Elephas maximus indicus: one gene and its partners. The protein of the gene in region 1 interacts with the protein of each later gene in a biochemical or structural test. Links are inferred from orthologs where the notes say so. Each region holds a gene or a part of one and is shown in the gene's direction. Other genes may lie near its edges.

Region 1 (10,236 bases):
TGTCCTGCCCGGGGCAGTCGTTACCGAACGGGTCTCTGTCCCCCGCCTTGGCCGTTTCTCCCGTATGGATGCTAATCTTCTCCCCCGGTACCTGCGTGGCCGCCATGGAGGCTGCACGTGGCTGAAGTTGGCTCTAAAGGGAGCCACCCACGACCCCAGCGACCGCCCCGGGGCGAGGAGGGACGGGGTGGGGCGTCCGGGCTTGACCTTCCTTCCGTTCCGCCCCGGGGCAGGGGCTGGGTAGGCGGGGGGGTCCGGGGACAGCAACGAGCGGGCCTTGCACCCCACGAGGCCCGGCGGCACTGCCCCGATCACCTGTCACCTGGGGAAGACCTAGCTCTCGTCTCCAGTCCCACGTCAGAATCCCAGGCCGAGCCGCGGCCGCCTTCCCGCGGCCGCCATCTTGTGCGCCCGTCCGGGAGGCCCGCTGGGAAACAGAGGCCGGCGGCGCGAGCCGGGCCGGGTTGGGCAGGCCCGGGGGCGGGGCCGGGAGACAACCCCGAGGTCCAGCCACGCCCAGGCCGAGGGGACCGCGCCCGGCCGCTGGTACCCAGCTAGCTGGAAACAGCCTCACTCAGCATCATGTGACCTTTCAGTTTAGCGCTATGAGTCGAAATCGACTCGACGGCAACGGGTTTGGTTTTTTGGTTTTCGTTCACTGAAATAGCATTCATTCATTTATTCATTCAACAAGAGTTTATTGTGCGCCTGCTGTGTGCAGACGCTGATCTAGACGCTGGGGACGCAGCAGTGAACAAAATGGACAAAAATCAGGGAGCAAATTGAAGGTGATAAGAAAAGTATAATTAGCCCCATTTTTTAAAAAATGGGAGAATTGAAGCCCTGGAATGGAAAGTGATAGTCTAAGAACTTAAGGGCTCTAGTAATAATCAGGTAGGAGCTCTGGTGGCGCGGTGGTTAAGCGCTCGGCTGCTAACTGAAAGGTCGGCGGTTCAAACCCACCAGCAGGTCCACAGAAGATGTGACAGCTTCCCTAAAGACTTAAAAACCAAAAACCAAACCCGCTGCTGTCGAGTCAATTCCGACTCATAGCGACCCTATAGGACAGAATAGAATTGCCCGATAAAGTTTCCAAGGAGCGCCTGGTGCACTCGAACTGCCGACCTCTTGGTTAGCAGCCATAGCACTTAACCACTAACGCCACCAGGGTTTACCCCTAGAGACTTACAGCCTTGGAAATCCTATGCGTGGGTCACTATGAATCAGAATCGACTTGACCGCAACGGGGTTGGTTTAGTAATACCGTACTGTGATCGCAACAGCAATAATTCCTTCTTTTTATTGTGCAATTGACATACCATATGCTGCTCTGCCTGCCTTTTTTTATATCTTCATTTTCTAGTGTATTTATTTCTTCATGAAAATAATTGCCCTCCTCCCTTCTCCCACCAAGCGTCTAGTTCTGTCTTCATTGCCCCGCCTTTTGGGAGCTTGTGGTCCCTATCTGTGGTTCCTTCTGGCTGGAGAGAGCTAATTGTTAAATTTCCAGAAATTCTGTGATGGGGTCATTAAGCAGAACCATTATTAAAAATTAAATTATACAAACTTACAATTAAATAAATTCTTAAAAACAAAGGTAACAAATACAACTTGTCACTTCCTGCTTATTTTACTACATTTTACCGTTTATGTTCCTCAGGCTATTTACATCTATCGTAGCTACACGATGGAAATACAGAATAATGGTGGGCTACTGCACATCTCCGCCCCCCTAAGTGACATCCATTGGTAGCTTGAAATATGCTATGGTAGAAGTATTTACACCGTACAAATCAATGAATGTTTAATAATTATTTTGTTGACTATCTAGACTTTAAAAAAATGACCAACCAAAACAAACAAACAAAAAACCCATTGCAACTCCTAGTGACCCTATGGGACAGAGTAGAACTGCCCCACAGGGTTTCCAAGGAGCAGCTGGTGGACTTAAAATGCCAACCTTTTGTTTAGCAGCTGACTGTTCAACCACTGCGCCGCCAGGGCCCCAAAAAAGTGACAAAGGTGGGGGTCTTAAATACTAGCAAGCGGTCATCTAAGATACATCAATTGGTCTCAACCCACCTGGAGCAAAGGAGAATGAAGAACACCAAAGACATAAGGTAAAGAAGAGCCCAAAAGACAGAAAGGGCCACATAAATCAGAGGCAACATCAGCTTCAGACTGGAAGAACTAGGTGGTGTCCAGCTACCACCGATGACTGCCCTGCCAGGGGACACAACAGAGAACCCTTGATGGAGCAGGAGAACACTGAGATGCAGACCTCAAATTCTCATAAAAAAGACCAGACTTAGTGGTCTGACTGAGACAAGAGGGACCCCAGAGATCATGGTCCCTGGACCCTTTGTTAGCCCAAGACTGGAACCATTCCTGAAGCCAACTCTTCAGACAGGGATTGGACTGGACGGTAAGACAGAAAATGAGACTGGTGAGGAGTGAGCTTCTCGGCTCAAGTAGACACATGAGACCATGTGGGCAACTCCTGTTTGGAGGCGAGATGTGAAGGCAGAGGGGAACAGGAGCTGGTTGAACGGACACAGGGAATACAGGGTGGAGAAGAGGAGTGTGCTGTCTCATTAGGGGGTGAACAGCTAGGAATACATAGCAAGGTGTGTCTAAGTTTTTGTATGAGAGACTGACTTGATTTGTAAACTTTCACTTAAAGCACAATTTTTTTTAAAGTGACAAAGAAAATGTTAATAATGCAGATTAAATTTAAAAGTATGTGAAATCTGTAGCCATTACACTGCGAATGTGGTTGTTGTTGTATGCCGTCCAGTCGATTCCAGTTCACACTGACCCTATATGACAGACTAGAACTGCCCCATCGAGTTTTCTAGGCTGTAATCTCTACGGGAGCAGATCGCCAGGTCTTTTCTCTCTCAGAGCCGCTGAATGGGTTCAAACCACCGACCTTTTAGTCAGCAGGCAAGCGGTTAACCATTACGCCATCAGGGCTCCTCGGATTGTGAGTAGGACCAAAAATCTAAGGAAATATTCTTCCGGTATCTGAAAACTATTCACCAAAGAGGTCGCTGAAGTCACTGACAAGTAAAGTTCTGACATCTCTCGACACGTCAAACTATCAACCAACATTCATGTTGAAACTACTCATTGATCAACTGCAGCCATAGATAGGCTACACAATATCAGTGAAGGCCTTCTGTGAAACCAATTTAGCTATATGGAATTTACAATAAAAACATCATATATTTTATTATTATTTGTAAATTGTGTGCTACACACCCTTTATATTGGTAAAGTTTCTAATACACATATAATAGGTAAGTACACAGGACTGACTACGTAATTTGTGTGGCTCAATGCAAAATAAAAATGTGGGGCCCTTGTTCAAAAATCATGAAGAATTTCAAGACAGTGACCGCATAGTATTATGACTACACAGGTCACACTCCCAAAAAGCTCGCCTTGTATATGCACACATCACCGCCCACCCCCAGAGCTGGTTGTTAAATATTTGCAAGTTCCCTGCTGAGCACAGACTTTTGAAGCTGGCTGAGCCTGAGTGTCCTGTGCTGCCAAATCAGACAAGGCAAAGACGCAGAGATAAGAAAAACCTGGCTCTATCACTTATCAACTCCATGGCTCAACTTCTCTGTACTTTAGTACTTACTCATGTATAAAATGGAAACAATATGACAGTCACAGCATTTGCTAACTGTTCACATCTGCCAGATACTTTTGTAGGTACTTGACACGTACTAGCATTTAACCTCCATAACACTGGCTACTGAGATAGGTACTATTATCATTCCTGTTTTACAGATAAGGAAATAGGTACATAGAGATTAAGAACTTGCCCAGGTTCATACAGTTAGTAAGTGTGTGGTGGCGCAGTGGTTAAGAGCTCGGCTGCTAACCAAAAGGTCGACAGTGTGAATCAATCAGCTGCTCTTTGGACACCCTGAGGGGGTGTTCTACTCTGTCCTATAGGGTTGCTATGAGTCAGAACCTATTGACGGCAATGAGTTTTCGGGCGATGCAAATGGTTAACATGCTAGGTTGCTAATCAAAAGGTTGGCAGATGAAGTCCATCCAGAGTTACCGCGGAGGAAAGGCCTGGTGGTCTACTTCCAAAAAAAATCAGCCATTGAAAACCTTATGGAGCACAGTTCTATTCTGACACACATGGGGTCGCTGTCAGAATCAACCCCATGGCAACTAGAGAGATTTTAATGAAACGGGTAAGAAAGGTCTTTGTAAAATGAGGAAAAAAACAAAACAAAATGAACCATTGCCATCGAGTCAATTCCGACCCTTAGTGACCCTATAGGACAGAGTAGAGCTGCCCCATAGGATTTCCAAGGAGTGGCTGGTAGATGTGAACTGCTGACATTTTGGTTAGCAGCCAAGCTCTTAACCACTGTGCCACCAGGCAACAGACCTACAAATGTGCTGATTACTATTGTTATAAACCACCTTTAATTGTTAATTAGAAAACAGAGCTTTGTCACATCTTCCAAAACCAAAACCAAACCCAGTGCCGTCGAGTCAATTCCGACTCATAGCAACCCTATAGGACAGAGTAGAACCGCCCCATAGAATTTCCAAGGAGCACCTGGAAGATTCGAACTGCCGACTCTTTGGTTAGCAACCGTAGCACTTAACCACTACGCCACCAGGGTTTCCTTGTCACATCTTAGGGTGGTAAAAATCTCATATATTGTTGGTGGGAGTGACAACAATATCTCCCTTATAGAGGGCAATCTGACAATATCCGTGAGAGCTACGCATTAATTTGCCCTGGCCCTGCAACCCCATTTCTGGGAATTTGCCTTGATATACCTGCCCCAGGACAAAATGACATATGCACAAGGGCATACATTGAAGCACTGTTTTTAATGGCAAAAAGTTGGAAACAAAGCAAATGTCTATTATCAGGGGACTGCGAAAACAAATTATGGTATATCTGCATAATGGAATACCAAACAGCTATAAAAAAGCAGCTTTCTATATATCTACCGTGGAAAGACCTCCAAGATACACTGAAATTTAAAAAGTGCAGAACAGCGTATACAGTGTAAGGAAGGAGAAACACAGGAAAATGTAAATTCATATTTGCTTTATTTGCATAAAGAAACTCTAGAAAGATACATATTGTTGCTGTTGTGGTGTGCCGCCAGTGGACTCCAATTCATGGGACCCCCATGTGTTAGAGTAGAACTGCTCCATAGTGTCTTCTTGGCTGAAATCTTTATGGAAGCAGATCACCAGGCTTCTATTCCTCAATGCCACTAGGTGGGTTCGAACCACCGACCTTTCAGCTGGGAGGGCAAACCATTTGCTGCACACAAGGACCTAAAAAAATAAGGGGCAGAAGCAGGAGCTATATAGAAGTTATAATTTTTATTTATTTTGAAATTTGAATGGTAAATACATTACCTATTTGGAAATTTTTAATAAGAAGAGATGCACTGAAATTCCATTTTTTGCTATTGTTTAGAGGATTAAAAAAAACAATATTGCTTTTAAAAGTATTTAAACTCATTGCCATCGAGTCAATTCTGACTCAGCGACCCTAGAGGACAGGGTAGAACTGCCCCATAGGGTTTCTAGGGAGGGGCTGGTGTATTCGAACTGCCGATCTTAACCACTGCGCAACCAAGTCTCCTTAAAATTACTTATCAATACCTTATTGAATTAAAAATTGGCTGTAATCTCTTGGGAATTATCCTGTGAGCCAAAAATTTTTTGCAGTGAGAAAGTATAACTAAAAACATTTTCAAATGGATATTAAACTTAACGTCCAGTAATTACAAGGCCTTGGCAAGGCCCACAGGCTCCTTTCATAATTACACTGGGCGAGGTCTCGAGTCTCTCTCGAACCTGCCTACCACCTATCCCTCCCATCCCGCGGTACCCAGAGAGCGGACTCGGCTGGCCCGCTTCCCAGATGCAGAGGGGAATTAGAGTAGCGATACACCGGAAGTGTGCATGGAAGTGACTGATGTGAACTCACCACCGATTGGCTCTCCAGAGCCGACAGTAGGCTCCTTTCTCCTGCCACTGGCCGCATGGTTTGTCTATTTGAACAGTCCCCGCCCTCCGGAGAAGCCGGGCCTGAAGCGTCATTTCGCCTTCGTTACTATTGGTCTATATTCCAGCCAATCTTCTTACTTCGCCTTTCAATTGGTCCTTAGGTCTGGGAGCCCACCCTCTCTCCCGCCCGGCTTAGAGGACAGCGGGGAAGGCGGGTGGTGGGGTCGGGAGTCTGAAGCTGCGGTACCGGCACTGGCGGCGGCAGCTGAGGCCTTGGCCGAAGCCGCGCGGTGAGTCTGGGGCCTGGCACCGACCCCTCCAAGTTGGCGGTATGTCCAGACCCAAGGCCAACCTGGTCGGTGGGGGCCCCGGGAAGCCGCCCGTCGGGGACGTGGAGTCCCCTCAGTAACAGTCCCACGAGCCTGGCGCCGCCTGGGCCCTTGACCCCTCGCCCCGCGAGTAACGCCCACCTCCTCCCGGGCCCCCAGGAGTCCCCGGACCCTTCAGCCTGTCGTTCGTCGCAGGCTCTCCGGAGGCCGGCCCATCAGCTCCGGTCCTGCCGAGGCCCTTTTGGGGCTCCCTGCCCGTCACAGTCACCCTTTTTTCTTCCAAGGTACATACAAACTGGGGACCCTGTGCCTCGGAGAGGACCGTCCTCAGTGTCAGCCCCTTGCACTGCGCCCTGGAGACCTCTCAGGGTCCCAGTCCACGGGGCTGAATTCGGTTATTTTCTTGGGTTTCATCTTTCGTGCCTCTCCCCCGCCGCCATCCCTAGTTTCAGCCACCCAACTTTAACGGGCTCCCTGAAGCCCTCACTAAGACCCTTAGAACATCTGACTTGGAGTAATTTAACTGAATTCACCTTGGAGCAGAGAGCCTGTGGGACTCAGACCATACAAAGATACACTGGTTCTTTCCTAAGGATGGTAATTATTTGCCAAGCCCCTCCCCCCGCCCCCGCCTCCCCACCTTAATGGTTTTTTCATCAGGGATCCTTAGGTTTCCTCTCCTGTAAAAGATGACATTTCCTTCTGCAGTCTTCTTGGCACTGGGGCATTTAAAAGTTTTTGAAAACCAACTATTCTCTGCTTTTCCTCTGTGGGTCACAAATGGCACTTAAAATAAGAATTTTGGTAATTGGTTTTGTAGTATAATTTGGAGATACCTAGGATGGGTACATGTTACTCCCATAGCAGTCTGCACTGAGCCGTGGTATGGCCACTTTGTTCTGGTTGCCTGGTTATTTGTATTTCCCACTGGATTGTAAACTCACTGAGGGGAAGAGACAGTAAATAGTTGAAGAATGAGTGAATGAACTCAAGAACTAATGTGGCTCTTTTAGCTCACGTTTGAGGTGCTGGTATTCTATAGGACTGCACTGTCCAATTGTGCATGTGGCTATTGGCTAGACCAAATCGAGATTGCTGTGAGCGTAAAATACACACCAGATTTCGGAGACTTAGTGCAAAAAAAGAATGGAAAATGTATCAATTTTTTATATTGATAACATGTTTAAATGGCATTTTATATATTGAGTTAAATAAAATATGCTATTAAAATTAATTTCACTAGTTTCTTTTTACCTTTTTTTAGTATGGTTACTGGGAAGTTTAAAATTACGTTTGTGGCTTGTATTATATTTCTTTTGGATAGCGCTGCTATAGCATAATAATCAGTCTTTGTCTTTAGATTGAACTCCTTGAGGAAATGGGCAGTCTCAGTTATTTGGTATTCTCTCCCCACCTCTAGTACCTGCCACTGAGTCATGTACATAGTTGTTGGGTGCCTTCGAGTTGATTCCGACCCGTAGTGCCCCATGTGACTGTAGAACTGCCCCATAGGGTTTTTCTTGGCTGTATCTTTTTTTATCTTAATGGAAGCAGATTGTCTTTCCTCCATGGAGCTGCTGGATGAGTTCGAACCACCATCCTTTCTGTTAGCAGCTAAGCACTTAACTATTGTGCCACCAGGGCTTCTTATGTGTATACATAGTAGTAATAATGGTTAACCTCAATGAGATGGATTGACACAGTGGCTGCAACAATGGGCTCAAGCATAACAGTGATTGTGAGGATGGCACAGGACCGGGCAGTGCTTCTTTCTGTTGTACGTTGGGTTGCAATGAGTTAGCACCAACTTGACAGCACCTAACAACAACAATAATGGTTAACAATAGTTAACCATTATTGAAAACTCACTGTGTGCCTAGCACTATTTTAAGCACTTTTTAAAATTCATTTAATCCTTTAGAGCTACAGCTACTAACCAAAAGGTAGGCAGTTCACATCCCCCAGGTACTCCTTGGAAACCATATGGAGCAGTTCTCCTCTGTCCTGTAGGGTCGCTATGAGTCAGAACGGACTCGATGGCACAGGGTTTTTATCCTCATATTTATTGTGGTCGAGGAAAGTGAGAGAGATTTTAAGTATTTTCCTCAAGTTATGTAACTTTGGAACTGGATTCAAACCCGGATAGTCTGGCTCCACAACCCACAGTTCAACCCATTTTGCTATGCTGGCTCTTTTAAACGTTAATCTCTGTTGAAAGAATGTTTTCTAGGCTTTCTACGTGTTCCTTAGATCTCCCAACCTTTTTTGAATTCTCCACCTGACATGAGCTGGGTAGAAATCTGTATTGAGGAACAAGGGCCAATAAATTCATTGTCATGGTTCATTATCCAGATACTAAAGGAAGCTTTTCTCCAAAGAACCTCAGGGCAAGATGCTTGGAACAGGACCTGCCGCCGCCACCACGGCCACCACCACATCCAGCAATGTGAGCGTTCTGCAGCAGTTTGCCAGTGGCCTGAAGAGCCGCAATGAGGAGACCAGGGCCAAAGCTGCCAAGGAGCTCCAGCACTATGTCACCATGGAACTCCGAGAGGTTGGGGCTTCTGTGATTTGGGGCAAGTCACTGGGAGGTATCCAAGCTAAATATACCATCACTGTTTTAGGTTCCTTTTTTTTAAAAAAAATTTTATTGTGTTTTAGGTGAAAGTTTACAGCCAAATTAGTCTCTTCATTCAAAAATTTGTACACAGATTGTTTTGTGACTTTCATGGCAATCCCTGCGATGTGTCAGCACTGTTTCCCCTTACTCCAGGTTCTCTGTGTCCATTCATCTGGTTTTCCTGTCCCTTCCTGCCTTCTTGTCTTTGTTTTGGGGCAGGTGTTACCCATTTGGTCTCATGTACTTGACTGAATTAAGGAGCATGTTACCTATGTGTGTTATTGTTTGTTTTATAGGCCTGTCTAATCTTTGACTGAAAGGTGGACTTTGGGAGTGGCTTCAGTTCTGAGTTAGCAGGGTGTCCAGGGGCCATAGTTTTGGGGGTTTCTCTAGTCTCTCTCAGACCAGTAAGTCTGGTCCTTTTTTGTGAATTTGAATTTTGCTCTACATTTTTGTCTGGCTCTGTTTGGGACCCTCTATTGTGATCCCTGTCAAAGCTGTTGGTGGTGGTAGGTGGGAAGCATATAGTTCTTCTGGGCTGAGGCTGATTGGAGACTGTGGTTCATGTGGTCCGTTAGTCCTTTGGACTAATATTTTCCTTGTGTCTTTGGTTTTCTTCATTCTCCTTTGCTCCAAATGTGATGGGACCAAAAGATGCATTTTAGATGGTCACTTGAAAGCTTTTAATACCCCGGATGCTACTCACCAAAGTAGGATATAGAACGTTTTCTTTATGACCTACTTTATGCCAATTGACATTTAGTTCCCTGAGACCGTGGTCCTCAGCCCTCAGCCCCTCAGAGTGTTTGGATGTGTGTAGAAAGCTTCTGTGGCTTTGCCTTGGTCAAGTTGTGCTGACTCCCCCTATATTGTGTGTTGTCTTTCTTTTCACTAAAATTAATATTTGTTTATTATCTTCCCATCCCTCCCCTCCCTTGTAACCATCAAAGTTTATTTTTTCTGTGTGTAAACCTTTTCTTTGGTTTTTATAATAGTGATCTCATACAATATTTGTACTTTTGTCATTGACTTATTTCACTCAGCATAATGCCATCCATAATTCGTCCATGTTGTGAGGTGTTTTGTGGATTCATCATTGTTCTCTATGGTTGTGTACTATTCCACTTTGTGTATGTTTCATAATTTGTTTACCCATCCATCTGTTGATGGGTACTTAGGTTGTTTCCTTCTTTTTGCTATTGTGAATAATGCCACACTGAACATGGATACGCATATGACTATTTGGGCGACAGCTGTTATTTCTCTAGG
Region 2 (10,562 bases), on another chromosome or scaffold:
CCATATGCCTACAAGGAAGACCAGTTAATACGACTATTATTCAAATTTACACACCAACCACTAAGGCCAAAGATGAAGCAATAGATTTTTATCACCTGCTACTGTCTGAAATTGATCAAACATGCAATCAGGATACACTGATAATCACTGGTGACTGGAATGCTAAAGTTGGAAACAAAGAAGAAGGATCGGTACTTGGAAAATACGGCTTTGGTGATAGAAACAATGCCGGAGATCGAATGATAGAATTTTGCAAGAACAACAACTTCATTGCAAATACCTTCTTTCACCAACATAATCAGCGACTATACACATGGACCTTGCCAGATGGAACACACAGAAATCAAATTGACTACATCTGTGGAAAGAGACGATGGAAACGCTCAATATCATCAGTTAGAACAAGGCCAGGGATTGACTATGGAACAGGCCATCAATTGCTCATATGCAAGTACAAGCTGAAACTGATGAAAATCAGAACAAGTCCACGAGAGCCAAAATATGTCCTTGAGTATATTCCACCTGAATTTAGAGACCATCTCAAGAACAGATTTGACACATTGAACACTAGTGACCGAAGACCAGAGAAGTTGTGGAATGGTATCAAGGACCTCATACATGAAGAAAGCAAGAGGTCACTGAAAAGACAGGAAAGAAAGAAAAGACCAAGATGATATCAGAGGAGACTCTGAAACTTGCTCATGAATGTCGAGCAGCTAAAGCAAAAGAAAGAAATGATGAAGTAAAAGACCTGAACAGAAGATTTCAAAAAGCAGCTCGAGAAGACAAAATAAAATACTGTAATGACATGTGCAAAGAGCTGGAGATGGAAAACCAAAAGGGAAGAACACACTCTGCATTTCTCAAGCTGAAAGAACTGAAGAAAAAATTCAAGCCTCAAGTTGCAATAGTGAAGGATTCCATGGGGAAAATACTAAATGATGTAGGAAGCACTAAAGGATGATTGAACGAATAGACAGTCATTATACCAAAAAGAATTAGTCAATGTTCAAACATTTCAAGAGGTGGCATATGATCAGGAACCAATGGTACTGAAGGAAGAAGTCTAAGCTGCACTGAAGGCATTGGTGAAAAACAAGGCTCCAGGAATTGATGGAATATCAATTGAGACGTTTCAACAAATGGATGCAGCGCCGGAGGTGCTTACTCGTCTATGCCAAGAAATATGGAAGACAGCTTCCTGGCCAACTGATTGGAAAAGATCCATATTTATGCCTATTCCCAAGAAAGGTGATCCAACCAAATGTGGAAATTATAGAATATCATTACTATCATATGTAAACAAAATTTTGCTGAAGATCATTCAAACATGGGTGCAGCAGTATATGGACAGGGAACTGCCAGGAATTCAGGCTGGTTTCAGAAGAGGATGTGGAACCAGGGATATCACTGCTGATGTCAGATGGATCTTGGCTAAAAGCAGAGAATACCAGAAGGATGTTTACCTGTTTTTTACTGACTATGCAAAGGCGTTCAACTGTGTGGATCATAACAAATTATGGAATACTGAATATACCATGGACTCCCAAAAGGACGAACAAATCTGTCTTGGAAGAAGTACAACCCGAATGCTCCTTAGAAGCAAGGATGTTACGACTGTGTCTTACATATTTTGGACACGTTGTCAGGAGGAATCAGCCCCTGGAGAATGACATCATGCTTGGCAAAGCACAGGGTCAGCGGAAAAGAGGAAGACCCTCAACGAGGTGGACTGACGTAGTGGCTGCAACAATGAGTTCAAGCATAACAACAATAGTAAGGATGGCACAGGACCAGGCAGTTGTTTTGTTCTGAGGTGCTTGGGGTTGCTATGAGTTGGAACCGGCTCGACAGCACCTAACAACAATAACAACAGTTGGTCTGTCTTAAAGCAGCCTGACCAATATCTTAAGAATTTATAATTGCTGACCACTACTGCTGTGTATCAGATGAACATGTGACTGGTGAGTATAAAACTCTCTGTCTGTGTAAAGTGAGAATTATTCCTCCTGTTCCGTAAGCCTTGAGAATAAGACAGTTGTAGATTGAGAAGTGAAGCTGTAGCACAAACCTTCACTTGAAGGAAACTTTTGTCACCATACCCTTGGGTTCCTATGCTGATGTGCTTTATAGGGTAAGCTGGCACAGGAAGTATCTACTGTCTGTCCAGATAAAGTTCAAACAACCCTGGATTCCTGCCTTTTGGGCAGGGGCTCTGTCATACATAGTCAAGACCTTCAAAGGGAAAATTAACTATGAAATCTTCAGATTTTGTATCTCCTATCATTCTTTTTTTTTGGGGGGGGGGTATCATTCTTTTTAGGAAAACATGATAACAATATGAATTAGAAAATTATTTTCTGATTAAAGGGCTTTTATCATTGCTCATTTTGACAAAGAATGCCACAAAAATGTCATGAAAGTAAAGGAACTACTCCCTATTGAAGAACAGTTGACCTTGGACTGAACGCACTTGTTGGTTACATTTTTCACCATTTTGTAGATAATTCCGCAGTCCCATATGCAGATTCTGGCTGTTTAGATGCACAGTGCATCTGATCAAGTTTGTCAATGATCAAATTTTTATACTTATCATTACGGCACTCTCACAAGAATATCAGGAATCGTCATACGACTCCCGAGGGTGCAGCTCTATGTATCTTTTGTGGGGAGCACTGGAATGGCAGCTCATCTAACTAGCCAGCATTTGAAAAACAGAATTGAATGCAATCCTTAATGCTGAAAAATGGTTAGAAGGTTTGGTTTTCGCAATATGGGGTTTCGATTAAGAAAAGCTGGAGATTGGCATATTATGTTGTCTAAATAGAAATACACCTTAAGGAAGATGTAGGGATATTTTAACTTTATAAATGCCAAAAGTCCTATGCTGCTAAAGGTAAACGGTGAAATACTTCCTTTCTTTTACCACTGAAGTTAGTTTGTATGAAGAGCACTGTCTAGTTTTATCAAGACTTTATTGTTGATAAAGTGGTAGTGGTGGTTTTCCTAGGGACAGGGACTTTGTTTTGTTCACTTGCTGATCCCAGACTGACTGAATAATGTTTATTTCTAAGAATTACGATTTCTGCTAAATGGAGTGAAAAAAATGAACCATTCCATTCTGGGATCCCAGTGGAGACATAGATAGTGCACTAAAAGTTTTCTTTAAAAATATGCAAAGAAGATAATTTATCTCAAATTAGTTGTTTATAAAGAAAGCTACTTCATAATCGATGTCTTTGAGTTTTGTCAACATATTTGCTGGGCAGTGCAAGCGGTGTGCAATCAGCTGCTAACCTAAAGATTGGCAGTTTGAATCCACCCAGCGGAGGTGCAGAAGTGCCTGGCAATCTTCTTCTGTAAAGACTGCAGCCAAGAAAACCCTACGGAGCAGTTCTACTCTGTAACGTACAGGGTTGCCATGAGTTGTAATTGACTTGATGGCAATGGATTTTTTTTTTTTTTTCTAGTGACAAAACATTCGGTTTTCCAGAACAGAGACTTTTGGTGTAAGGCTGTTTAAGAATACACACAATATATGAATTTGTGAACACCAGTTTAAAAAACAAGAGAATCTGAGCTCTTTTTTTTTTTTTTTTCCTAGACATCTGTGATGTTAAAATGTAACACTGGAAAAAAATCTTCAAAATGATCATTATAAATACTGTATAGAAGAAAAGATAAATGATTCACTTGTATGGTTATGGGATTCTGAATGGCTGATAAATGAGTCATCCCGGCTACCCTGAGAAACAGTTCACAAGAAATACAATGAAAAGACTGCAGTAACAACATGCAGGATTATTAGTGTATTTCCCAGAATTTCAACTATTGTAAATCAATTCACACAAGTACGAACAACCAGAACACCACTCTGTGTAGCAACGTGGGGATCAGACATGGAGACTGGAGGTAATCTGTTTCTTTCACGTATTTAAGGACGTGGTTTAGGAATAAGGTATCACATTTGCAACATTTAAGTAAAACAAACAATGTGACCCACACTGGAAAGCAACACTATTCATTTAACACAATGAGTTACACATAATAAATCAGATCCTCCCAGGGTGTAAACTATACAAATTTGAAAGCTACATTTATTATTAATGCCTCATTCCCAGACAGGTGCTTACTCAGTAGTAAAATCTGGTTTAGCATACCACATTTAAAGCTATTTAACAAATAGGAAGATTTTCTTTTTTTCTTTTTTTAAACTAAATTACCATGTATATAGCCAAAGGATTTGTGTGCATTAAAAAAAAATTTATTTTCTAATAGTGTTAAGAATATTTTTGTTACCACAAATGGAAATGAAATACGAATTGTACTAATAGGCAGAAGGAGCCCTGATGGTGCAGTGGTTGTTTGGCTGGTAACTGAAAGGTTGGTGGTTCGAGCCCACCAGCCACTGTGTGAGAGAAAGATGTGGCAGTCAGCTTCCAAAAAGATCACAGTGTTGGAAACCCTACGGGGCCGTTCTTTGCTGTCCTATAGGGTATTACGAGTCTGACTCGACGGTAACGGGCTCGGTTTTGGTTAATGGTCAGAGATTCTTGAACTGAAGATTGGATTATTTTAAAAGCATCGCTTATTGTTACCAGGAAATAGACTTCATATTCGGTACTCTGAGTACTCTAACAGGCTGATATCATTTTGTGAGAAACGGTGTTGCTGGAGTAAACCTAAGATATTCCAAAATTACCTACGTGGATGAAATTTCTCATTACAGATGATTTAATGAGCTTATGTTCTCAGCTGTACATCAGCACGTGTTAAATTTTGCAAAAGTTTGTGATTTCTAACAACTCACCTCCTATAAGGCCCTTTGCCCTGTAGAGCTAGTTCGGTAGCCAATAAATAAAGGGGATCTTTTTTGTTCGCATAAACAGCTTAAGAGTAATTCTGGGTGCTCTAGAAACTGTGAGTGCATAGGAAGGTGCTTATAAACGGGACGGTACACCACTTGCCCAGGATCCTCTCTAACCAACCTAACTTGACATCCACACTCTTGGGTACAGTCTCCCACTGGCCAAATAATTGCCAGTTTGGCAAAGACCACCCAGGACACGGCTCAGGGTCCATTACAGGGCCAGCCTGCACAACCTCGTGTACCCTGCTTTGGAGGAGAGCATTCAATCGGAAGATCACTTACGACCGAGTTTTTCATCATGGCTTTGACTGTGAAGCCCTCGGAAACCAGGGAATGCGGCTGGTGCAACGGGAGCGGCTGTTGGGCCAGCAGCTTGGTCCTCTTCGGTATCTTGTCTGGGCATTTGTTTAAGCTCAGGGTCTCTTTTTCTGCCACCATCTTCCTAGGAAAAGTCTTGTTCTCATAAAAAAAAAAGTGTATTAAGAATCAGTGGGGCCTACGGATGTAAGAAGGTCGGGAAAAAATGTCAAAAGGCGCAATACTGATAGAAATTCCACCCCTCGTAGTGCCCAGGTCGATCCAGATGTTTGGCAGCTCCTAGGTGAACAGGGTTTGGGGGAGGGGAGGGGCGGGAGGAGCGCAGGACCTTGGCTAGAGCTGCAACAAGCTTCCAAAGGTAAGCCCGCGGTTGCTAAGCGACGCGTCAACATTGCGGCCGAACGGCCTCGCCCTGTCGTGACGTGCGCTGCCTGGGCTTTGAAGCCGGAAAGGGTCGCCGCAGGGAGGCAGGCGGGGCGAAGGCGTAGCTGCCGGTCAGGACTACGACTCCCGGCAGGCCACGGGACGCGTTTCCTTTGCTCATGCGTCTTTGTGCCTGGAGCCGGCTAGAGTTGCAGTGAGAGGAGGTGATTGGGGGGCGACGGCGTGACTGCAATTCGGAACTACGACTCCCGGCAGGCTTCGGGCCGTAGTCTTCTGCGCTTGCGCATTCGGTCGTCCCGGGGGAACAGAGCGTGGGTGGGGAGATCTGAGCAACAGCCGGGAAGAGCGGCCTTGGGAGGCGGCGGGCGACGGGCGCTGGAGCCCTGTTGCCGAGCGGCCGCCGCCCGCCCAGTGACCATGATAGGTACGTGGTGCCTGCCAGGTACAGCGTCTGTGCGCCGCCATGCCGTGCCTGGGCCGAGGGGACCCGGGGGTACCCGCCGTGACACCTGTCAGTGACAGGAGACAAGTGCCCACGCTGCCTGGGCTCCTGTGTCCGGGGACACGGCCTGGACCTGCGACTCTCGTTGGGGGACCAGAAACTAAGTGTGTGTTCTGTGGTCCCTCGCCCTCCTGCCTGGTTTAGCAGGCTCCCACCGAAGAGAGCTAGTCAGGAACACTAGCCAGGGGGCACTAGTGCCTGCCACCTCCCTCCGAGATGACCGCCCCTCCTCCTGGTGCCACATGGGTCCCCGACGCCCAGAGCCTTGCAAACGCCCCTGCAAGACCCGTGTGGGGTCACTGGAGCGCCGCCGTTCCCCGCCCAGGTGTCCTCCCTCACCTTGCTCTGGTGAGCTTGGCTGGCTGTCTTTCAGCCTAGGACACGGTGGAACCCCTTCAGTAGAAGTCTTTAAGGGGAATCGTGGAGACAATCAAACTCTAATGAAAAACACATGGTACTGATGGTTGGGCTCAAAACATTCCTTTATGTGAATTTATACTTGCTTCCTTGACATTTTCTTCTAAACCTCTCCCTGAGAGTCTGAGATAAAAGAATAATTAGCAGTGTAATAGCAAGGTTTGAATATTCTGCCATTTGCATAATGCATTAACTGCAATATATATATATATAAAACACAAAATGACTGAGATGCCTTGTGAATGAAGCTTTGGAAGTGGATGTTAGAGTTGTTTGTAAATACTGTGATGTTTTAGATTAGCAAGGGTCCTCTCTTCCAGGGTTAAGAGACAAGGGCCAAGTTATTTTAGAGGCTACCCCTGAAAATCTGTGGAAATGCACAGTAGGATTAGAAAACAACTATTTGAGGGGCTCGGTATGACAAAGACTTGCTCCAGTTTATGTATTAGGAGTATGGTGTGAGATTAGGCTTATTTCTGAGGGATACCACAAAACACGTTTTTGATTGTAACAAGTAAATATTAGTTCGGATGTGGTCTGTTCAGAAAGATGAGTGGTGGATTGATAAAATACCTTAAGTTTGTGTCCTAGTTTCCTAGTACCACTGTAACAGAAATGCCACAAGTGGATGGCTTTAAAGAACAGAAATTTAATTTTCTCACAGTTCTGAAGGCTAAAATTCCAAATTAGGTTTTCCACCTTGTGGATGCCTTCCCTCTGGTTTTTGGAGGCATTCCTTGGTTCCTTGGCAATCTTCACATGGCATCTGTCTTCACCCTGTTTCTGCTTCCTTCCATGTCTCTACTGCTCTTCTTATAACTCAGAAATAATTAGGTTTAGGACACACCCTACACTGATATGGCTCTATTAACATGACAAAGAAAATCTTATTTCCAAGAGGGACCACATCCACAGGTCCAGGGGTTAGGATTCCAGCATAGATTTTGGGAGGAACACATAGGTTGTCTGTGAAGCCCTGGTGGCTCTGTGGTTAAGAGATCGTCTGTTAACCAAAAGATGGGCGATTGGAATATAACAGCCCCTCCTTGGAAACCCTATGGGGCAGTTCTACTCTGTCCTATAGAATCCCTATGACTTGACAGCAATGGGCATTTCCTGTTGTTAGTTGCCCTCTAGTTGATTCCAACTCATGGAAACCCTACGTGTGCAGAGGATGTGACCTTTTGGAAGGAGATTACGAAGCTTGTCTTCCAAGGCACCCCTGGGTCAGTTCAAACTGCCAACCTTTCTACTGCTAGTCAAGAGCTTAACTATTTGCACCACCTGGGGACACCACTGGTGGTGTAGTGGTTAAGAGCTACAGCTGCTCGCCAAAAGGTAGGCAGTTTCAATCCAACGGGCACTCCTTGGAAACTATGAAGCAGTTCTACTCTGTCCTATGGGGTCACTATCGTTAGAATCGACTCGATGACAGTGGGTTTGGTTTACAGGTGTAGTTACCCCACAGCATTTCCCAAGTCTGCTTTATTTATGGAAAGAATGTTAAAATGCAAAGCATTGGTCTCGTCTCTAGGAGAGTCACAGTGGTTAATTAGCCTTGGCTTTGCAAATTTTTTTTTCTTTTGCAGCAATGGTGAAACCTTGGTGTGCTTTCCATCTTATACTCTAGCGTGGAATGGATTTTAGTGAATGACTGTTAAAAATTATCAAATTAAGAAAAATTGATACATTGTTATGAATCTTATTGAGTCTTTTTAGGTGGCATTTGCACAAGAATTACTTGAAAACACAAATCTGAACTGAATCAGAAAACCAAGCAAAAGGTGTTTTCTCAGAATTTGTATCATTATTTTACAGGAAAAGAATAATAGCCTATGCTTTATTTTGAAGACAATTATGCAAATTTTTAAAATTCTGCTTCAGTACAAGGATATTATTAAGAATAGCAAACGTATTGTAAAATCATAAAAAGACAGGAACTTGAGATCTAAAAGTCTTTGCTTAATTCTAAATTAATATCTAATGCATGATTATGCAAATAACTTTATTAGGATGAAAGTTATTTAGCCAGTTGTATTTAGTTTTTATTTGGAAATTATGAATAAAAGAAGTATTATCTTTGACAATGATATGGAGAATATAGGGTGGATTTTAAAAGGCATTTTTTCTCATACTTCAGCTATTGCTTTATGTAGAGTAAGTAAGTGTGTATTACAACACAAACGTCAGTTTGTTGTACTGTAGTAGATTGTGTGTTGCTGTGATGCTGGAAGCTGTGCCACCGGTATTTCAGATACCAGCAGTGTCACTCATGGTGGACAGATTTCAGTGGAGCTTCCAGACTAGACAGACAGGAGGAAGGACCTGGCGATCGGCTTCTGGAAACAAACAAACATAGTGAAAGCCTATGGATAGCAGCAGAACATTGTCTGATATAGTGCTAGAAGTTGAGCCCCTGAGGTTGGAAGGCACTCAAAACGCAACTAGGGAAGAGCTGCCTCCTCAAAGAAGAAGAGGAAAAAAAAAAAAAAACCCTTGCAGTCCAGTGAATTCCGACTTACAGCGACTCTATAGGACAGAGTAGAACGGCCCTGCAGGGTTTCCAAGGAGCAGCTGGTAGATTCCAGCTGCCGACCTTTTGGTTAGCAGCCATAGCTCTTAACCATTGAGCTACCAGGGCCCCTCTCAAAGTAGAGTCGACCTTAATGGCGTGAATGGAATTAAGCTTTCAGGACCTTCATTTGCTGATGTGGTAGGATTCAAAATGAGAAGAAATACCTTTAAATATCCATGAGTAATCAGAACATGGAATGTATGAAGTATAAATTAAGGAAAATTGAAAGTCATCAAAAATGAAATGAAATGCATAAAGATTAATATTCTAGGCTTTAGTGAGCTGAAATGGACTGGTACTGGCCATTTTGAATTGGGCAGTCATATGGTCTGTTATGCCAGGAATGACAAATTGAGGAGGAATGGTGTCACCTTCGTTTTCAGAAAGAACATTTCAAGATCTGTCCTGAAGTAAAACACTGTCAGCGATAGGATGATATCTGTATGCCTGCAAGGAAGACCAGTTAATACAACCATTATTGAAATTTACCCACCAACCACTAATGCCAAAGATGAAGAAATGAAAGATTTTTACCAACTTTTGCAGTCTGAAGTTGATTAAACGTGCAGTCAAGATGCATTGATAATTACTGGTGATGGGAATGTGAAAGATGGAAACAAAGAAGGATCAGTAGTTGAAAAATATGGAGTTGGTGATAAAAATGACACTGGAGATTGCATGATAGAATTTTGCAAGACCAATGCTTTCTTCATTGGAAATACTTTTTCTTAACAATGTAAATGACACCTATACACACGGAGAAGCAACTCTGTAGCACAGTAGTTAAGCATTCGGCTGCTAACAGAAAGGTTGGTGGTACAAACCCACCAGCCACTCCATGGGAGAAAGATGTGGCAGTCTGCCCCCATAAAGATTACAGCTTTGGAAACTATGGGGGCAGTTCTACCTTGTCCTGTAATGTCACTGTGAGTCAGAGCCAACAGAATCAGATACACATGGACCTCACCAGATGGAATACACAGGAATCAGTTGACTACATCTCTGGAAAGAGATGATGGAGAACCTCAATGTTATAGTCACAACAAGGCCAGGGATCGACAGCAGAACAGACCATCAATTGCTCATGTACAAGTTCAAGTTGAAGCTGAAGAAAATGAAAACAAGCCCAAGAGAGCCAAAATACAACCTTGAGTATATTCCATCTGAATTTAGAGACCTTCTCAAGAATAGATTTGACTCGTTGAACACTAATGACCAAAGACCAGAGAAGTTGTGGAATGACCTCAAGGACCCGTACGTGAAGAAAACAAAAATTCATTAAGAAGATAGGAGAGAAAGAAAAGATCAAAATGCATGTCAGAAGAGACTCTAAGACATGCTTTAAACACGGAGTAGCTGAGGGGAATGGAAGGAATGATGAAGCAAAAGAGCTGAACAGAAAATGGGTGACTCCAGAAGAAAAAGTAAAGTATTATAACCAAATGTCCAAAGACCTCAAAGGTAGAAAACCAAAAGGGAGGAACATGCTTGGCATT
Region 3 (10,818 bases), on another chromosome or scaffold:
TCTTGTGCGGGGAGGCCGGCTAGAAAGAGGCTAGTTTGCTGTGTACTCAGAAACAGTAAAGCTATATTAGGAGGCCCTGGGTAGCGCAAGCACTGGACTACTAGCTGAAAGGTTGGCAGTTCAAATTCACCCAGCAGAGAGCCTTGGGAGACAAGACTGGCGATCTACTTTTGAAAGGTCACAGCCTTGGAAACCCTATGGAGCAGTTCTGCTCTGTAAACGTGGGGTCATGATGAGTCAGTCGGAATTGACTCAACGGCAAATAAAAACAACAGCCATATTAGCTGAAAAATATTGCGACCCTTAATTAATATTGATGAGACAGGAAAGTAGAATGCCAGACAGATAGCAGAGATGACACCAACAAGTCTGATGATACTGATGAGCGAGGAGAACAACGTGAGAAATTTGGGTGATAGGAACAGGAAATTGAAGAAGAGGAGCTGGTTTTAGTGACGGATGAAGGGGAGAAAAGATAGGAAAAATGAAAAGATGAATCTATTCAAAACGTGGTAAATTTGAAGCAGCGGCAGACCACTAAGAGATAGCTATTTGGGAAAGAGATTAGAACTGGAGGTAAGGATTTGCACCTAGATGGTCCGAATTAATAAGGCACCACCTGAAGAACAAGGGCTGAAGAAAAAATGGTAGGAAATGTGTGTCTGAGGAGCAGATGGAAGTGAAAAATGGTCAGAAAACATAAGTGAGAACAATTAAAAAAGGAGATGAAGAATAAGGACAAAAAAGTCCTCAAGTTGAGAAGCTGAGGAAGGGGGAGGCTGTTAATTATAAAATGCTGACAGATATCAGGGCTTTGAACCAATTTGTTCCAGTTCGAAACCCTGCTGAGAATTTGCATTTCTAACAGGTTCCCAGGGGATGCTAATGGCACTGGTTAGGGACCAATTCTGAGAATCGCTAAAAAAAAAAAACCAGTTGCCTTCTAGTGGATTCCAACTACTAGGGACCAAATAGTAGGGCCAAAACATAGCGACCCCATAGGGTTTCCAAGGCTGTAAATCTCTAAGGAAACAGACTGCCACATCTTTCTCCCACAGAGCCACTGCTGGTTTTGAACCACCGGCCTTTCGGGTTTGCAGTCCGACTGCTTTAACCACTGCACCACCAGGGCTCCTTACTAAGAGAGCAGTGGCTCTTGAAATTTATTATACATAAGAATCACCTGGGAATCTTGTTAAACTATAGATTCTGACTTTGTGTATCTGCAATGGAAATGTAAATTTCTATCAGGTGTATAAACCAGAATGAACTGGTTCGAAGCTCTGCCAGATACTGAGGCTGAGAAGCCCGCTAGATTTGGAGACTCTAAACCACACTGAATAAAGAGTGCCAAGTTGGAAGACAGGAAGGAAAGAAAGCCAGGTAGCAAGGCATAAGAAGAGAAAAGACATCACCAAGAAAGTGAAAAGACAACCTGCAGAATGAAAGCTTTTTTTTTTTTTTTGAAGATCATAAACCTGATAAGGGACTTGTATGCAGAATATGGAGTCCCTGGGTGGTGCACTCAGCCGCTAACTGAAAGGTTGGAGGTTCGAGTCTACCCAGAAGTGCCTCAGAAGAGAGGCCTGGCAATCTATTCTCAAAAAGTTAGCCATGGAAAACCCTATGGAACACAGTTCTACTCTGACACAGATGGGATCACCATGAGTTGGAACTGACTGAACCGCAAATGGTAAAAAATTCAGAATATATAAAGAACTCTTGTTAACTCAAAAATAAAAAAAGATAAATAACCTAATTTAAAAAATGGGTAAAGGATCTGAATAGAATAAGCTCGCAGGCTTTCAGAGCATAAGACTTTCTCACAAATAACAGAGGAGGGCACGGGGACACCTACCTAATGGATTTCTTCTATAGTGAAACGAGCCTCCTGCAGAGTAAGTGGGCTGGAACACGCTTCCCAGCTGATGTGCGAGGACGTGATTTAGATTGCTAAAGGAGACCTGTCTGAGACCCATCAGTTTTGCACAGATCTTATGGACAGCATCATTCTCATGAACAAGGAGGGCATCCGAAGATTGGTACAAGTGAGAGAGAGTCAAAATGGAGTTGTAGTTCTGAACAATAACCTAGAAAGAAAAACATCAGAAATAAGAAAGGCAGGAGTGAAGAGTGGTTAAGAGCGTAGATTCTGAAGCCATCCTGCCTGCGTTCACATTCCTGGCTCTGTCACTTTCTAGCTGTTGGTATGATTTTGGACAAGATATTTAACCTCTGAATGCCTCAGTTTCCTCATTTGTTTAAAAACAAACAAACCCATTGCCATTAAGTTGATTCCAACTCATGATGACCCTGAGTTACAGGTAAGACAGGGACAATAATTACACTGGTCTCCGAGAGTTAGAAAGATTAATGATATAATGGAAGTAAAGAACTTAGGAATAGTGCCTTGTACATAATAAGGGCTTAGTAAATGTTGGCTATTATCACACTTCCTTCCTACATCATTTCCTATAGTGAGTTATCTCACCTCCAGTTTACTGATTCTCCTACTAGGCTGACCAACACGAAATTGGCCTATATACAAACTTCTTCCCCATGGAAAAAAAAAAAAACTATTTGAAGGTTGGCAATGGCACCATGAACCCCAATATGAGGTCAAGGTCTGTCCTGCTTTACATACTGTAGCCAGAGGGACTAACTCAGAGTTGGGTTCCTGAGAGGGCATACACAATCATCTTTTTTTGAAATTTTAAAAAACGTGGACACCTAGTTTGTTTGGAAAAGTTTAAGTTAAGTGAATTGTACTCAAGAAAGTATCATGTTGCATAATCACTCCTGAAGCTGTAACTTAACATGTCCAAAGAAAGAGTGAGAATCAATTTCCTACCCACATTTATTTCAACTGGAAAGAATGCAAAATATAAAAATTTCAATTAATACGTTCATACCTCACCGGTTCCATAAGGCCATATAACCTGATTCATTTTAAAAGAGTTTGGGTACTGATCTTGTAAATCCCGGGTAACAAAGGCTCCTAGCCCTGATCCCGTGCCCCCGGCCATACTCATTATGATGAAAAAACCACTCAAAGAGTCACATTTCTCCACTTCCTTCTGAATTAGGTTCATTATAGATTCTTCATGCCTGGGTCCATGAACAGAGTAACTATGCAATGCAAAAGAGACAAACATAAACCCTTTTAAAATTGACCACAGAGATGCAATGCAGAGATAGACACAGGACAGAGCGAGCTTTTCAAAGCTGCGCAAGTGAACTAATTCTCACGAAAGATACAAGTACTCTGACTGGCAGAATTTAAAATACAAAAATATATTTAACAGGTGAATATGACTGCTAGGAGAGGGCACTGACTAGGTACAGGAAATTCTCTTTTATGGGACATTCATTTACCAGGAGCCTTCAATGACCAAGTAGTTCTGTGTAAGTTTCTGGTACAACATAATATCTGATACTCATAACAATAGTCCTAAAGCAGTGGTTTCAAACTTTGCTGCACATTAAAATCACCTGGGGACCTTTGAAAAATCCCAATACCTGGACTTTATCCCAAGCCAATTAAATCAAAATCTCTTGGAGCGAGTCCTAGGCATTGAGACTTTCCAAAGATCCCCAGGAAATTCTAATGTGCAGCAAAGTGCTGGAACTACTGCTTTGTAATATTCTTGCCCAATAAACCAGAATACTCGCCAGATACAGATAATATACTGACAGTAAGTCAGCTGGCAGCACGACAATGAAGAAGGTGGAAAACCTTGGGGCAAGAGATCCTTCATCATTACCTGTACCTGAAGCACAGACACAGAGACTGAATGAGAGTTTCTTCTGGGTGAATTCAAACTTTAAAGTAGCAATTACAAGATTGTTTGCTAGTACAATCTAGAGTATATCAACTCTACAATTGTAACTACATTGTCTATTAATCAACAATGTATCTGTAACTAAACTGCAAAATATGTGGAATTATTCTTACCCATATGCCCAGTTGTTTCCAGAACCTTGTCTTTGACAGAAGCATGCATGCTGACCATATTTCCATCGGCCAGACCGGGCAGCCTTTGATAGTGTTTGATTGATAACTTTAGGTTCCATGTCAACAAGTACAGCCCGGGCAACTAGAACTAGCAAGGGAAAAAAATCGAAAGAAAAAATATTTCAAGGAGGAAATTTTATAGTAGTTAGTGTTGTCAAATCCAGCAGAGAAGTTAAGTGAATTAAGAAAAGAAAAACAGCCATTGAATCTGGTAATTAGGAAACTTTTTCTTAGAGTAGCTTCAGAAGTGGTGAGGGCAGAGCAAGATTGCACTGGGTTAAGGAGGGCTCTCCATTGAGAATCTTGGATAAGAAGGCAAGAAATTAAGAAAGAAGAAAACTTTAGTCAAGGGATTTTTTTTGTCTTGCTTTGTTTTAGACTGGTGAGATCTGAGCGCGCTCATGTGCTGAAGGAAAGATGCCACTGGGAGGCAAAAATTGTCAATAATAGAAACAGATGGGAGAGAGCAAACATAGGTCCCTAGAGAGATGGGGGAGGGATGGGGTTCAGACACCAAGTGGAGGGCTTGGCCTTGAAAAGGCTGGCTACCTCAGACTAAAGGAAAGAACCATGGGCCACACATACCTCCATTTTCCTCCTCACTGAAGAACCTTTCTTTGCAAGACGCTTGATACGCCTCATTCTCCTTCTTGGAGCAGAGTCCCTGGGAACAGTATGAGTCACTAAATAAAGTATCAAACACTTCAAAACCAATCTGATTGCCACACTGACCAAGTTGCACTGTTACTATTGACATGCTGAGCCACAAAGTCCCACCAAAAAAGTGAGCAACCTGTAATAGAAAAATATAGACTTTGAGAACTATTATATTACTAAAAGAACAAATAAAATGCCACATATTAATTACATCTTGATTAAAAAATATAATTTAAAAATGCCATATATGTACAGGGTTGCAGATGAAATTGTTATGTTGTCTAAGGTGCCAGTCATTCAGGAAGTTCTCCTTTTCTTTATGGTTTTGCGATTTGTGATTTACTATACTCAAATACATTCATACACAGCTTCCACAATCTGATTCATACTATTTTCTTCAGCATGCATTTAAGACAAAGCAAAAAGAATGCTGATTGACGGGATTACGTAGTAATACACAGTTCACACCACGTGGACACATAGAACACAGAATTTCTCTCTGCAATCACGCATTTAATTAACAGTAATTTTCCCTCTTCTAAATAATGACTTTCTCTCCCTTCACCAACCTCCTTTCTGGCTTGATAACTACAATTACACTTTGTGACCTCTTGGTTAGCAGCCCAACTCTTAACCACAACGTTCCCTGGGCTCCTTAGCTCCAGTACAGGAAGAAAGCCGGAGCTCGGAGAAAGCAGACCAGATGAAATATTAGAACTGGTTTTCATTATGTTTAATAAACAAAACAGACAATTTTTGATAAAGACCTCACACCAGGTCTATGCAGCAGTGGAAATGAGCCACGGTTTGTGAGCCAGGTTCTGTGCTTCAGATTTTCAAACAATCCTACAAACCAAACCAAACAAAACACACCAAAATCCTACAAAGCAGGCATTATTATCCGCTTTTTACGGATAAGGAAACTGAGGGTCTGGAAAGTTTTGTGATTTCCCAAGACCACCAGACTAGTAAAGAGCAAAACCAAGACTCTCCCTTTCCCCACCGGCCCCAGGAACCCCTCATTAAAATAAACTCACTCACTGACAGCCCCGGTACTAGTCGCTTCTGTCTTCTTCAAACTTCAGAGGGCCAATCCTCTCGTTATGCGCATGCTCGCCTTCAACACTAAACACTGCCAAGAACGAATGCGCATGTTCCACAGACTGAGCGTTTTGGGGGTAAGTGGGGTGGTGGGTGCGTGTGTGTGTTTCTTCTTATTCAGAAAGGTTAATTACGCATGTTTAATTTCAATTTATCAACATCAGATATGGTACGCATGCTCGCTGTCCATCAAAAGCTTGAGCTGACAATGCGCATGATCTAGCCTCCAACCGAGGCTTCGGCTGGCATTCTGCGCATGTCTCTCCCAGGACCTTGATCCTGGCAATAATTCTACGCATGTCCACTGCCCACAGTTCGGCTTCATGGGACCCAGTACGCATGCTCTAGCGCTGAACTTGAGGAGCCAGTCTACGGCCTAGGCGCAGTCGCACTAAGCCTAAGCGGCCGGTGATGGCGGCAGCGGCGGCAGTGGTTGCGGCGGGTCCGGGCCCATGAGGCGACGACGGAGGCGGGACGGCTTTTACCCAGCGCCGGACGTCCGAGACAGGGAAGCTGAGGACATGGCAGGAGTGTTTGACATAGACCTGGACCAGCCAGAGGACGCGGGCTCTGAGGATGAGCTGGAGGAGGGGGTGAGGCCCGGGGTCCCGGGGGGCCCGAGGTGACAGGGCTGGGGCGGCGGCTAGGGCCCGGGAAGCCAGGCGTGTCTGAGAGCGCGGAGACCCAGGGGGGCGCGAGTAGTCTTCGGGAAGGGCTGGGAGGCGCCCCGCGCGGCGGAGGTGGCCCTAGGTGTGAGGCCGCTGCGGGGCTCGCAGGTGCAGGTCACTCCCCCAGCTCCAGATCAGCGCTGTCCCGAGCAGTCTGTTTGTGGAGGGAACGAGGAAGGATGCGTGATCAGTTCCTCGAGCTGTGGCACTTGTGTGTGGTGGGACGCGGGTGGTGTGAGCGTGTGTTGGGGGGAGGGAGGCTGGCTTGTTAGGTGTCCCGTAAAGTGCAGGCGAAGTGCGGAAGGGTTTCCCTTCAAGTGTAAAATTTCAGGTATTAAATCCTCAGATCTCCCACAACTACCTCTCTTCTCGGCCTGTCGCTTCTCTCCTAGGAAGCGCTCAGCTGTTAGAAGTGACAGCTGAAAACTTCTGTCGGGAGTAGCGCTGCCGCTGCTGTTACAGCCACCAGGAGTTTTATTTCTGGAGCAAGGGGGCTCAGCTGCATCTTCCAGGGTTTGTTTGTTTGCTTTTTTTTTTTAACCCCCTTCCGTGTGATTTTTTATAAAAGCATTTGTAACGACACACGGCATTTGTAATTAACTTTTCTTCTAGATGAAGATGTCTCTCTTTTTCGAAATATATTTATGTAATTTTGGGGTGGAAAAAACCCACTGTTGACAGCTGTGATTTGGCTTGCCAAAAATAAATTGCTTGAATTGAGACTTGTGAATGGTGGTGTGAGGGCTTTCCTTGCTGTAATTTAGGATGCTGAATTTAGAATTTTTTTTCTAATGCATAGCTTGGTTTTACCTTTAACAGTTTGTTATTTATGAAAGATCATTCTTTCTTCAAGATGAATTTGTTGAAAAATCACAAATTGCACCTGATGTTCAAAAATGATGTTGTCATACTAAATCACTTATCCTGGGCTAATGGCATCAGCATAACCTCAGTGTAATTTAGGTTCTAAATTCCACTGTCTAATGAGTACATGGGTTAATGACTCGTGTCATACGTTTGCTCTAACTACATAAGGGGCTCCCCTTTTCTTTCCCCACGTACAATTTTCCTGCTATGGCAATAAATTGCACCCTGCTTGTTAAAAGATTTCAATGCTACATATATAAAGAACTTAAGCAACTAAGTGGGCTAAAATAATAATAACTATTCTTTTCATGATCAAATGAGTCTAAATCAAAATCACACAGTTTAGAATGTGGATAAGAGGTATGTGCTTTTTAAACTGCTATGTCTGAGTATGGGATTCCGTTACTCTCTTAAATGAACACCATGGTACACTAAATAACAATTTGAAACAAATAGGGGATTACTTTCTTAATACAGGTAATTCTGCATCTTTTTATGTTTTTTTCTGCTCCAACTTCCATTACATGCACCATACTGTCATCAGTTATAGTATTTCCATATGGCAATGATTTTGGGCCAGGGTAGGGAGAAAACGAGATAGGAAGGGTGCTTTATATTTTTGTGAGTTAAAATGATATAATTTCCAAACTATGAGTTTATCCTCCTTTGAAAATACACCACTATATTAAGACACTTGTTATGAACTGGGACCCCCTTGGTATGTGCTTCAGAAACAGTGTGTAGTCCAGTTTTGACCTTCTCCTGGGCTTTTGTTTTGCTTCCTACAAGCAAAGTAGGATTTTGAGAGGATGTGGTGGAGATGGCCTGAGAAATTGGTAGATACAGGAAAGAGCAAGAAGTGTGGTAACTACCTGGGAAGAGGATAGAGCCAACCAAACCAGTTGCCATGGAGTCCACTTTGAGTAAACTCAGACTTGTGGTGACTCTATGCGTGTCGGAGTAGAACTGTGCTCCATAGGGTTTTCAGTGGCTGACTCTTTGGAAGTACCATGTTTTTATGCAGATAACATGTGCCTTCTATGTTTGTTTGCCAAGCACTCCCTCCCCCCACAAGATATTTTCATAAGAGCCTCTATGCTGATTTTTTAAACATGTTTCTGTAAAAAATTAGCATAGCACACTTATGAAAATAACCTGGGTCAGGGGGGAAGTGGTTGGGAAACAAACTACAAGGTGCATGTTATTTGCATAAGAGTATGGCAGGTCACCAGCCATTTCTTCTGAGGCATCTTTGGATAGTCTGAAAACTCCAGCCTTTTGGTTAGCAGCAGAGCTTGTTAACCATTTGCACCACCCCGGGGCTTTGAGGAATAACCTTAAGTAAAATACGTCTTACTTATCAATGCTTTGGGAGTTGAAATTGTTTCTTTTGGGTGTGTTATTCTAAGAGGTGCCTCAAGGTAGACAAAGTTGGGGTGGGATTGGGGTGGCAACCCAAGGAGAATTGCTTACGTCCAGGTTACTCGAAATAAAAAAAAAAATTCTGAAGAATAATAAAAGTTTAGTTTCTAGGAAAATGTAATATTTTCCAGCCATTTATGTAATAGCTATTAGTTTATTACACAGACTTTTTTAACAATGTGTATCAGAGTAACCTAATCTCTTGATTTTATAGTAAGGAAACTGAGGCATAGGTCAGAGAGATGATTCCCCAAGATCACATAGCTAGTGGTAGTGTCTTCTGACTCAGTTCAGCAAGCTTCATTGCACAACTTCACTTTATTTACCAGTCTTGATCATAATGTGCATCTTTGTGGTGTGGCAGAAGTGAGTTAAAAATCACTTCTACTACCCTCCCTATGTGACTTAAAATAAGTTGCTTAACCTCACTGATGGAGCCCTAGTGGCACAGTGGTTAAGAACTTGCCTGCTAACCAAAAGGTTGGCAGTTTGAACCCACCAGTCACTCCTTGGAAACCCTATGGGGCAGTTCTACTCTGTTCTGTAGGGTTACTGTGAGTCAGAATTGACAGCAACAGGTTTGGTTTGATTTTTAACCTCACTGTCACTTTCTTCTTCTCTATGAAATAACGATGGCATGAGGTAAAGTATATATATACACCCATTACAGTTGAGTCAATTCTGACTCATAGCAACCCTATAGGACAGAGTAGAACTGCCCCCTGTAGCGTTTCCAGGGAGCGGCTGATGGATTCAAACTGCCAACCTTTTGGTTAGCAGCTGAGCTCTTAACCACTGCACCACTAGGGCTCCAAAGTATAGAAAGTACTCTCAAAATATCCTGGCATGTTAAGCAGTTAGCTAGTTCACAGAAATAACTGTCAGTATTACTCGTTGACAAGGAACCATCATTCAGATTTACCTTCATCCTTGCCTGTTGTTACTTGCCATCAAGTCGATTCCTACTCATGGTGACCTGTGTATGCAGAGTAGAACTGCTCCATAGAGTTTTTAAGGAGACTTAAGTGGAGTTATACATACTAGAGGTGGTTCAGTTTTACAACTGTTGCATCAGGTTTTTTTTTTTTTTTTTAACAAAAAGCATTGTAGTCCTATTTAGAGAGGGGTGTTTTTCTAGGTGTGTTACACTAAGTGAATCCTTATTGGTAAATATGATGTATTTACATAGCATAGTCAAGTTCACTCTTTAGAGTAAAAGACGAGAAGTCTAAACTGATACTCTTATGGATGAAACTGAATGCCTGCTACTAATAAAAGAAAACTCAAACCAAATCCATTGCCACTGAGTTGATTCCAACTCATAGCGACCCTAAAAGATAGAGTAGAACTGCCACATAGGGTTTCCAAGGAGCGGCTGGTGGATTTGAACTGCCAACCTTTTGGTTAGCAGCTGATTTCTTAACCACTGTGCCACCAGGGCTCCCATCAACTAATAAAAGAGCCTGCTTAAATACATAAAATCCTCCAAAACTCATTGCTCTTGAGTCTATTCCAACTCATAGCAACCCTGTAGTACAGAGTAGAACTGCCGCATAGGATTTCCAAGGAGCGCCTGGTGGATTCAAACTATAGATCTTTTGGTTAGCAGCCATAGCTCTTAGCCACTACACCACCAGGGTTTCCATGCTTAAATACATAAGATGAATATATTAAAACTGATGGGTTAAAAGTATCTTTGATTAGTTTTTTTTTTTTGTAGTTTCAATGGTGATGCCATCATTATTTGGGGGCAGTGAGTTGAAACTAAGGGAAAGTTTTCCTCCAGAGAATTTCATTAGATTGTGAAAATGTCAGAAACTTCTCTGCTTCTGTGGAAGCACAAAGTTTAAAGAGTAATAGAAAACTTATTTAGTTAAAAAAAAAAAAATCCCTAAGTTTTACTCTACTAGTTCAAAATTTGAAATAGTGATAGAGGTTTGCTGCACAAATTCAAATTGGGACAGCATGCTTTTACTGTGTAAAAACTTTAACATTTTTTAGTGCTTTGGCAAAGCAATAGTGGTATATTCAAATATTCATGATTATCAAAAATTATAGAAAAACACACTGTTATCAACGCTTATCTTA

What was found.
Region 2: of the proteins of MTOR (region 1) and PRKN, one has a biochemical effect on the other in vitro, tested with the Homo sapiens proteins (2 studies listed by BioGRID). The link is inferred for Elephas maximus indicus from reciprocal best matches to the Homo sapiens genes MTOR and PRKN.
Region 3: of the proteins of MTOR (region 1) and RPS6KB1, one has a biochemical effect on the other in vitro, tested with the Homo sapiens proteins (18 studies listed by BioGRID and IntAct, with this or other methods). The link is inferred for Elephas maximus indicus from reciprocal best matches to the Homo sapiens genes MTOR and RPS6KB1.

The regions. Positions count from the first base shown.
Region 1 is NC_064821.1:51,094,355-51,104,590, reverse strand, and holds the start of MTOR (serine/threonine-protein kinase mTOR), read left to right. Parts: upstream 1-6,199; 5' UTR 6,200-6,308; intron 6,309-6,333; exon of another isoform or gene 6,334-6,631; intron 6,632-8,699; 5' UTR 8,700-8,739; coding exon 8,740-8,901; intron 8,902-10,236. Other genes in the region: UBIAD1 (ubiA prenyltransferase domain-containing protein 1), read right to left, coding at 1-106. UniProt on the Homo sapiens protein: Serine/threonine protein kinase which is a central regulator of cellular metabolism, growth and survival in response to hormones, growth factors, nutrients, energy and stress signals.
Region 2 is NC_064819.1:234,900,189-234,910,750, reverse strand, and holds the start of PRKN (E3 ubiquitin-protein ligase parkin), read left to right. Parts: upstream 1-5,864; 5' UTR 5,865-5,989; coding exon 5,990-5,996; intron 5,997-10,562. Other genes in the region: PACRG (parkin coregulated gene protein), read right to left, coding at 5,153-5,308. UniProt on the Homo sapiens protein: Functions within a multiprotein E3 ubiquitin ligase complex, catalyzing the covalent attachment of ubiquitin moieties onto substrate proteins. Substrates include SYT11 and VDAC1.
Region 3 is NC_064837.1:34,231,151-34,241,968, reverse strand, and holds the start of RPS6KB1 (ribosomal protein S6 kinase beta-1), read left to right. Parts: upstream 1-6,120; 5' UTR 6,121-6,225; coding exon 6,226-6,366; intron 6,367-6,850; exon of another isoform or gene 6,851-6,954; intron 6,955-10,818. Other genes in the region: TUBD1 (tubulin delta chain), read right to left, coding at 1,859-2,090, 2,913-3,129, 3,956-4,103, 4,601-4,772. UniProt on the Homo sapiens protein: Serine/threonine-protein kinase that acts downstream of mTOR signaling in response to growth factors and nutrients to promote cell proliferation, cell growth and cell cycle progression.